2 linked regions of the Danio rerio genome follow. The protein of the gene in region 2 purifies or fractionates together with the protein of the main gene of each other region. This does not show direct contact. Links are inferred from orthologs where the notes say so. Each region holds a gene or a part of one and is shown on either strand. Other genes may lie near its edges.

What was found. Proteins that work in one complex are often made in the same cells at the same time.
Region 1: the proteins of gpn2 (region 2) and polr2j purify together in Homo sapiens (affinity purification with mass spectrometry; 3 studies listed by BioGRID and IntAct, counting the BioPlex papers as one, with this or other methods). This does not show direct contact. The link is inferred for Danio rerio from reciprocal best matches to the Homo sapiens genes GPN2 and POLR2J.

The regions. Positions count from the first base shown.
Region 1 is NC_133180.1:67,353,136-67,358,299, forward strand, and holds the start of polr2j (DNA-directed RNA polymerase II subunit RPB11-a), read left to right. Parts: upstream 1-2,080; 5' UTR 2,081-2,116; coding exon 2,117-2,169; intron 2,170-4,003; coding exon 4,004-4,093; intron 4,094-4,353; coding exon 4,354-4,528; exon of another isoform or gene 4,529-5,164. UniProt on the Homo sapiens protein: Core component of RNA polymerase II (Pol II), a DNA-dependent RNA polymerase which synthesizes mRNA precursors and many functional non-coding RNAs using the four ribonucleoside triphosphates as substrates.
Region 2 is NC_133191.1:37,154,123-37,159,169, reverse strand, and holds the start of gpn2 (GPN-loop GTPase 2), read right to left. Parts: upstream 3,104-5,047; 5' UTR 3,034-3,103; intron 1,003-3,033; 5' UTR 956-1,002; coding exon 542-955; intron 467-541; coding exon 310-466; intron 1-309. UniProt on the Homo sapiens protein: Small GTPase required for proper localization of RNA polymerase II and III (RNAPII and RNAPIII). May act at an RNAP assembly step prior to nuclear import.

The DNA of each region.
Region 1 (5,164 bases), on a different chromosome or scaffold from region 2:
AACTGAATTTTCAACAAATTTACTATACTAAGCATAGTTTAACCATGGTATCTGGGGTAAAACTAATAAGAGCCATTCCGCAAAATGAATGCCTTTTCAGTCCCCAGGACTTAATATAAATATGCAAGGAAAGTAACTCAAACATACATGTTATTATTACGAAAAGTGTCCTTGTTCCACTGTCCAAATTACAAATGTAATATTTTAAAACATTTAAAAGATTGATAAAAATTACCTACTGTTTTTTTATTGTCCCCAGTCTCTAACATTGCTTTTCACTGAAAAATTCATTCATTAATTCATTTTCTTGTCAGCTTAGTCCCTTTATTAATCCGGGGTCACCACAGCGGAATGAACCGCCAACTTATACAGCACATGTTTTTACGCAGCGGATGCCCTTCCAGCTGCAACCCATCTCAGGGAAACATACATACACACTCATACACTACGGACAAATTAGCTTACCCAATTCAACTGTACCGCATGTCTTTGGGCTGTGGGGGAAACCGGAGCACCAGGAGGAAACACACGGAGAACATGCAACACATGCAGAAACGCCAACTGACCCACCTGAGGCTCGAACCAGCTACTTTCTTGCTGTGAGGCGATAGCACTGCCTACTGCGCCACAGCATCGTCTTCACTGTAAAATATAATAATTAGAATATTTGCTTCAAATACATTTATTTAAAAAATTCTATACTTAGATAAAAGGAAATTATATATCCATTAAATAATATCCATTAAATAGTTGTTAAACAGTAAGTTGCATCATTTGGATCTTTGAAAGGCCATTGAAAGAGCAAAGATAATATATCTTGTTTTATTTTTATTTATTTTTTTACATATTTGCGGATATTGCAATGAAAACTGGAAATGTCATTTTAAAAATACTATCTTGTTACCTAAATTACTTCATAGAGGTAATTTGTTCAGTGCAAAATTTCTGATATTTGTTAAGTTGAGGGAGTTTGATAAGTTTCTTTGAGCTATTAGCATGTACAGCGTGTGGCTCAATTTCATTTACATGCAAATATTATGCTAGAAATTCAGTCCTGTTACTTTCAGTCCTGTTACTTATAAGAGTTACAGGAATGAGTAACAATAATGAAAAGCATCTTCTGATACTTAATAGAATGAACAGTTTTTATTATATTATTCATCTGATTTCCACACGTTATGGATGGAAATGTTGAAGTTGTAAGATATTTAAAGGAATAGTTTTCTCAGAAATGACAGTTCCACTACATGACACACACACACACACACACACACACACACACACTCTCTCTCTCTCTTTTCACTTACTGATTTGGTTTTCTTGTGAAAACTTTTTTTCCCTACAATTTACTCAGTTAAGTTCTGTACATCATATACTTAAATGTTAAGTAAATTATGTTATAAAAAACATGAATTTCAGGCCACAGTTTTCTTGAAAAAAGGGAAAGTGCCTTTGCATTCCTATAAAAATACATTTTTTTATGTAAATCGTGATTTTTTAAATACAAAAATCAAATGTTTGAAAGTGTAACAAACCATATTTTAAAAAGAAAATCACTTTCTTAAGAGGAAAACAAAGTAATTACCTGATAGACTTTTATTCATGCTTTTTAAAAGACTCGTTAGTTTGGGTAATATGACTGAAAAATGCATTCATCTGCCACATAATACCTTGTAAAAACTCAAATTAAGTCATTTTATGTGGACCAATACATATTTTGAAAAGTTAAGTATGTGTGTTATTAGATTCCGCCTTGAAAAGTAATTAAAAGAAGTTTAATTGTAAAGAGTTACAATAAGCAAAATGCATCCATTCGGTGGAATGGTCAATAATTACTCCCATGCTAATCACCATACTCAACTTTTACAAGCGATGGTCAAAATTAGATATATAATCCAACCATTTTGACCCAAAGTGTATTAAAAGACTCATAATAAAGGTACCTCTTAACTCTGTCGTTGTGTTGAAAATACTACGACCAGACTACGACACAATACTGCCCCCGGTCGTTATTCACTCAATATTACCCTTTTTCCCATGTCTTCCCATGTCATGCGCATGCGCAGTACAACGTGCGTCCATTAGTAGCATCGTTCGCTGCTGGTTTTGAAGCAGGATGAACGCGCCACCAGCATTCGAGTCTTTTTTGCTGTTTGAGGGAGAAAAGAAGTAAGTGCACTATAAAGCTGTCTTTGCTATTCAATTATACTAACATATTATACTAGCCTATAATAAGAGTAAATATTCAGTTGGAAGACAGGAGGGAGATTCAAAAGGCTTTAGCTTGTTGGCTAACGACAGGTTACGTTAGTCAGTCCATCTGAAAACAAAATACAACCTACTTCTGTTTACAGAGTGCTTTATACAATACAGCTTAAATCATATCGACGATTGATTCATTCACTATTTAAGTTTATTGTTCATTATTTTTGTATAAACGAATACAATTTCAGATGCTAAGCTGTTTGAATAAGACATGTAATACCAACATTTAGCTCAATTAAGTTTAAGTTGGTTAAGTGACCTTGTGAATCTAAATAAAAGTATTCGTTTTTAGACGTACTTTAGGTCATGATACCATGACATTTTTTGAATACCATGTAAATACCATAGTACATGTACAGTAATTGGTCTCAGCATCAAATTAAATAACAGAGGTAATACGTAACGTTAACATATAAAATTTATGCAAATAAGGTGTGCTTTAATGTTTTAAATAACTTTTAACTATAAAAATAAGATTGTCAAAAATATTAGTAAAATAACCTTCCATATAAATATGAATATATTTTTTAAAAAGTAAACCTTTATTGTAATCTACATTGATTAAAATATGCAGTAGTAAGTGCTTAAACTAAATTGTTTTGCCTTGTAAATGCCTCTTTCTGACAGATATGCTTGACAAATTTAAGTAAAATTGGTTTTGTATTCGCACATTTGGACTTTCTCCTTAATATAATTTCAGAAAAGTTTTATTTGCAAATTCTGAATAGAGAAATCATTAGCAGCCAATGACTATCAAAGTACAACATTGTTCAGTCAGGTAAATAGTACTTATGTTTTTGAGAAGTCATATTTGCAGGCTATTTTAGACTGAATATTCAAAGCAGTGTGATAAACAATATATGCACAGTGTTACAAGGTTTCACTGTTCAAAAATTACCAAATGTCTGAATATAAAACCAACTTTACCTCAATGCTTGACAATACTTTTTGGCATAAAAAAATATTTTTGCACTGAATGACATTTAAGTGAGCATCTTCTCTTAATAAGGGTTAAAATTATAGTAGGATAAAAAGATGATAAATATGATGATAAAGCTTATTATATTTTGTATATTTACCTAGAAAAACATTTTTCATCTCTGATCTACTTAACAAAGTGACATATTACTGCCAACATTGTACCATGATACCACAGGGTCTGCGGGGTCTTAAGAACTATTAAAAGTTGATTAATCAATGTAGAGAAATGTAAGGCCCTTAAAAAGTATTTTAAAATCCTAAATGCTATTTTGCAAGGTGTTAAATTTTATATAATTTTGATTGTGCAATGTAGGTATGGTTGTATGCTAAAGTTTGCCTGAATTAAATCTAAATGTCAGGATGCTGTGTAGTTTATGAAATCAATGAAATCCTGCTAGATTTGACATCATGCAGTTTTGTTTACTGCAGTTATCAAGGAAAAACCATTATTTCTGCAGTTCTATAGGCACCAACCTGCTGAATTAGCTATATTTAATAGATTTTAATTCAATATAATTATGTATATCAATATGTAAGTTTTTTACATTAATATTTAATAAATATACTGTAAGTTAAAATCTCTTTATTGTTTCCGATTGAAATCTTAAGTGATAATAAGGTCTTAAGGTCTTGTATGGAGAGAGTCTTAAAGGTATTGAAATTCACTCTCTGGTTCCTGTATATACTCTGTACCAAAACATTACTATTTTTAAAAGTAAGGGATTGCCTAAAATTTCTGTTCAACTTCTTTTTACAGGATCACAATAACCAAAGACACCAAGGTGCCGAATGCATGTCTGTTTACTCTAAATAAAGAGGATCACACACTGGGAAACATCATCCGATCGTAAGAGACCAAACTTTTGATACACTAAAACATTTTCAGATATTTATGTGGGTTTTGTAATCATCCTATATTTACATTAGAGCAATTCCATGCAAATGTCAACCTTGTCATGAAAAAGATTAGGTTTTAACTCTGTGGTTAGTTGTTTTGGAAAATATAAACAGATGTTTCAGTATAATGTTAACACATACTTTCTCTGTGAATGTGTTTTGAGATCTTACTGCAAATGTCACATTTGTAACATTGGAATTGCTCATTAGGCAGTTGCTGAAGGACCCCCAGGTGCTGTTTGCTGGATATAAGGTTCCTCATCCTCTGGAGCATAAGGTTGTGATCCGCGTTCAGACGACACCAGACTACAGTCCTCAGGAAGCCTTCACTAATGCCATCACGGATCTGATCAGTGAGCTGTCCCTGCTGGAGGAGCGATTTAGGGTATGTTCATGTGTTTGCATTGAGTAAAAAATGATTCCAGAACAAGCGCTCCTGAAAAAAATGCACTCTATAGCAGCACTGCAAAAGACAATTGAGGTAAAGTTGGTTTTGTATTCACACATTCAGACGTTCTACTTAATATTATAATTTCAGAAAAGTATTATTTGCAAATTCTAAATAGGGAAATCATATCAGCGTCCAATGGCTTTCAAAATGCAACATTGTTCATGATCAGTTAAATGGTGCTAATGTTGTTTTAAAGGGCACCTATGGTAACAAATCTACTTTTCAAGCTGTTTGGAAAGACGTGTGTAAGTAAAGTGTATACACCGTCATATTGGGGTGATATAAACACACCCAGTGTTTTTTTTTTTTTTTTTTCTTCAATTTAACAACATAAAAACGACAGACCAATTGGAGCAGTTTTTAGAGCGACCGCAACTTGATGTAAAAGTGTGGTCCCCCCGCCCACCAATATTGATTGACAGGCATGCGTAACCTAATCCTCAGTTTGTTGTTTCACGTCTGCCATTTTCAGTGTTTGAGTCAAGGCGATATCACCAAAGGAACACCCTTGCTTTATTGTTAGATGTAAGGCTCATTGGGCTCAACACAAGATCAATATTCTCCACATTA
Region 2 (5,047 bases):
TATGCTTTTGTTTGGTTATCAACATCTGGTAAAAATTTTAAGTCAACAGCATTTTTAAAAATATGTTTTGTGAGAAAAAAGGTGACGTGTTGAATATTTATTTTCCCCACTATATATATCATCATGTTATATATAAAACTTAAAAATGGTTACGTATTTTGCAAGAAAATTGTACTAATACAATAGCATATATTGATATTCTAGAATTCATTATAATATAATGTAACAGTAAACTTTCTTTGCAAACAGCAGAATATCCTCAAGATGCTTGGCTATATTTCTGTATCAATCCCGAGTATATCAACTCACCAAGTTTTCCATACTGCTCAATGAGGTCCATTTTTGACAGCACATTTACATGTGGCAATTCAACATGCAGCATGGTGGACAGAGATGTGCACAGCACTGAGATGAACTTAGCCGGATCAGCACAGTAATGTGAATCCACCAGATGCACTGCAGTCAGCTGCCGAAAGCAAATCAAAACAAACAAATGAATACACCCTAATAAATCAGAAATACAAAAGAGAAAAGAACGTACCCTGAAATTCCACTTGGACAGCTGTGCAAAGATATTCTTCACTGAATTGTGATGAGTGTACAGTTCCACTTGGCCTGGGCAGTCAAACAGAAAGTAGCAGTCATGGTGCAGCTTCAGCTTGTTTTCCAACCAGTCCAAATTTGCCTCTAAATATTCCATAGAGTAGATGAGACCACCATTGGGGCCGAGTTTTAGACCGTCCATCACATCATCCAGAGTTACAAGCTCTGCTATGTCCACGGCACACGGATAAGGCAAGCCTTCGTTGGCAGGATCGAGGTTTACAATGACCACCTTTCGCCCGAGGCGACTCAGAAACTCCTGCATGCCCCGACAATAAGTGGTTTTACCTGAACCAGGCGGACCAATCACAACCTGGCCGAAGCGCAGAGATGGAGGATCCGATGACATCATGATGAAGACAAGTTCACCTCTATGTGAAGAAGCAAACTAGGCTACATCTAGAAGAGAAAGAGGCAGGATTATACAAATCATAATTGATCATGTTATAGTTTATGAAGACTTGACTGTTTAGTAGAATGTTAAGAAAGAGTTTTAGTTAAGTTCATGGTCTTTGGTGATTTGTAAAATCCAAGTCGACAGTTATGGTCGCTTTCTAAAAAAAAAGAAAAACCAAACATACACAACAGGCAAAAATAACACTTGTTGCTCCTTATAATATACTTGTCATACGAAGGTCTGATGGATTTCCTGAATGTAAATAAATTCACAGAAAATTTACCGATTTTCTTTTTTTAATTTTAAATACAATATTTACTTTAAAGAGTCAGTTCACTCAAAAACCTATCTCCTATGATGACATATGCCTTTGTATAAGCAGTTTTCTTGCAAAGTATATATATATATATATATATATATATATATATATATATATATATATATATATATTTATATATATATATATATATATATATATATATATATATATATATATATAAAAATATATATATATATATATATATATATATATATATATAAATATATATATATATATATATATATATATATATATATATATATATATATAAATATATATATATATATATATATATATATATATATATATATATATATATAAATATATATATATATATATATATATATATATATATAAATATATATATATATATAAATATATATATATATATATATAAATATATATATATATATATAAATATATATATATATATAAATATATATATATATATAAATATATATATATATATATATATATATATATATATATATATAAATATATATATATATATATAAATATATATATATATATATATATATATATATATATATATATATATATATATATATATAAATATATATATATATAAATATATATAAATATATATATATATATATATATATATATATATATATATATATATATATATATATATATATATATACAGTGGGGAAAATAAATATTCAATACATCACCTTTTTTCTCACAAAACATATTGCTAAAGATGCTGTTGACTTGATATTTTCAACAGATGTTGATAACCAAAGAAATACATATTTATGCAAAGAAAACAATATTAATTAGTTTTTAATTTAAGTTGTGTAATGAAATGACACAAGCAAAAGTATTGAACACATGAAGAAAGAGGTGTAAATAGGCAGTGAAAGCCCAGACAGCAGCTGAAATCTCTCAGTAGTTATTCAGCAACCCTCTACCATTCATCTTTGTAAAGTAATATCAGCTGCTACAGTCCAACATCTACATTAGCATGATGGAAATGAAGCCAAAGTGGACATTTCAGCAGGACAATGATCCAAAACACAGACAAGGAAACTCTCAAACGGTTTCAGAAAAAGAAAATGAAGCTGTAGATGGTTCTGTGGGTTTTGTCGGTCCAAACTCATCTTTAATTTGTATTTTATATTGGTTTCAAGTCAGGTGATAGGCTGGGCCATTCTACAGGTTGATTTTCTTTTTCTGAAACAGTTTGAGTTTTATTAGCGGTGTTTCAGATCATTGTCTTGCTGATTTCATCCTGGTGATCAACCTGTCATCAACTTACAGAAAACACTTGGAAACTCAACAGCGACTTAAATGTTTTTTTCTCTCTATCATGAGATGGATATGGACATGGCATTCAATCTGCACAGAAGAATCTCACTGGAACCAAACGAGAGCGAGTACTTGATGACAAAACGCAGAACTATCCCTTTAAGGAAAACGAAAAGTACTTGAAATAAATAATGGACATCACCATTAAGTAATTATATTTAATTCTCAATCACTATTTTTTTTCTAAACGCAAAAACCACAGCGCTGATGCTGTGACATTAACATGATGCAGATTCGCGCGGTCTGTGAACTACCGGTAAACAAACAACTTTAGAGACGAAAACAAAACCCCCATAAGCGACAATTGATGTAAATCGAAGAAATAAACAGGTATTAGATCACGACACAGACATACAGTTCACAAAAACGCATGTACACAAACCTTTAAAGTCAGCGAACTACCTTACTCACGACAACATGACGCTTGAATTGTGATGCAAACCGGATGTGGCGACTTCAAAATAAAGGTACCTCAAAATGTAACCGAGGCATTTTCTTCAGGAGTATACATTTTTTTTAACAATCAAAATTTTTTAAAAAGACGGTATTTGAAGGACAAACTTTAATTTCTACGTTATAAATGCATTTTAAATACCGAATTTATTATATTTATGTAAACTGAAAAATTAAATACCTATTAAATTCCCTATAAAAACGAAAAAGGAATTTCTTAACTTTCAACACATTTGATAGCGTTCACACCATCAAATTCAATGTGTGCAGTCCATCAAAATACAAACATTCATTATTATCCATCTTTATTTTACAATACAAAACATCTTATCATCAAATATGAATGCACTGTGAGAGAATAGAAAATATGTAAAGAAAGATGGCATCTTTTCTGTAGCACTATTCAAATTATTCTCAGTATTTTCTGAATGATCGTGAAGATGCTGGCGCTAGGAGACTGGTTCAACTGACCAGAACATAGTACGCATCTAAATCACAAATACTACAAACTAAAACACATTAAACGAGCAGTCACTTCAGATAAATCCAGTATATTTACAGTAACCAAAACGAACATTATATTCACTCTTTTTCAAGCGTATCCAAAATATATGTTTTTAAAGACAGATTCATTAGTTCTGGCTTTGAGCACTTGCTTTTAGGGACAACAATGTACACAGTTTGACGGGATACAAAAGCTATCCACCTGAGAATAAGTCATACAGACAACTTGGGCAGGCTGAAGCATCATCGTTTCATTGTTCAGAAGGAAATTATGAATAAATGAGCAGTTCATGCTCGTCCTGTTTGAAAAAAAACTTTCAGTCCAGCACAAACAGGTTACTTTGGTAAACTTTGAGGAGAGAGCTACTCATCCAGCCCTTCATCCTCCTCTTCTTCTTCCTCCTTCTTCTTCGCATCGACCTCGGTTGTGTCAGAGAACTCGTGAAGGAGCACATACTCTCTGCTGCTGAAGCCGAACTTCAGCACGTCCTTCTCTTTGAGCTCGTAGTAACGCTGAGGTTCGATGCGCTGATTGTTCAGGTAGGTGCCGTTACCAGAACCCAGATCGATGATGTACGGCTTCACTCTCCTGCCTGCAGTGCCATCCACCCGTGTGAACTCCACTAACCTGGAGAAGAGAAAAGACAATGAGAAATGAAGTTTGGGAAATTTCCACCTAAAAAACACTTCTTTTAATGTTGATGTAGTGAAAGTAACGACAGATCTTTTCTTCCAGACTGTGATGTAAACTGAGGTGAAATACTATCAAACATCTATCGATGAAACTAAAGGTGTGAAAAAAGATCAATCATTTTGAACTTGTCCACTTGGCTTGACAATGTAAACATTAGGATTGCACAATATCGTTTCAGCATGGATATCCCAATTTGCACAATACTCACATCGCATAGATATGCAATGTTGAGTCTTACTTATAGTTGACAGGGAGCTACAGAATTCCATTTAATTATGATTTATGCAAAAATAATAATAATAATAATAATAATAATAATAATTTTTGTCTTGTTTCTAGTCCAAATACAGTTGAAACCAGAAGTTTACATACACTGTATAAAAAGGCACATAACCGTTAAAAAAACTCAGATGTTTATTTGATTAAACTTTTTCTCTTTTAGGTAATTTAGGATTATCGAATTTCTATTATTCTAAATAGCAGAAAAATGAGAGAGATATTTTTTGAGAAATTGTTATAACTTTTCTCAAAAGTCAAGTTTACATTATATGCCTCTGAAAAAGCTCAGATGATTGTGTCAAGGTTTTGGAAAGTTCTAATTGGCTAATTGACAACATTTTAGGTAATTGGAGGCACAACTGTAGAATAGTATTTAAGGAAAACCTGAAACACACTGATTCCTATTGTGACAACATGGTAAAATCAACAAGCCAGAATCAACAAAAAAGCCAGATTACAATTTGCT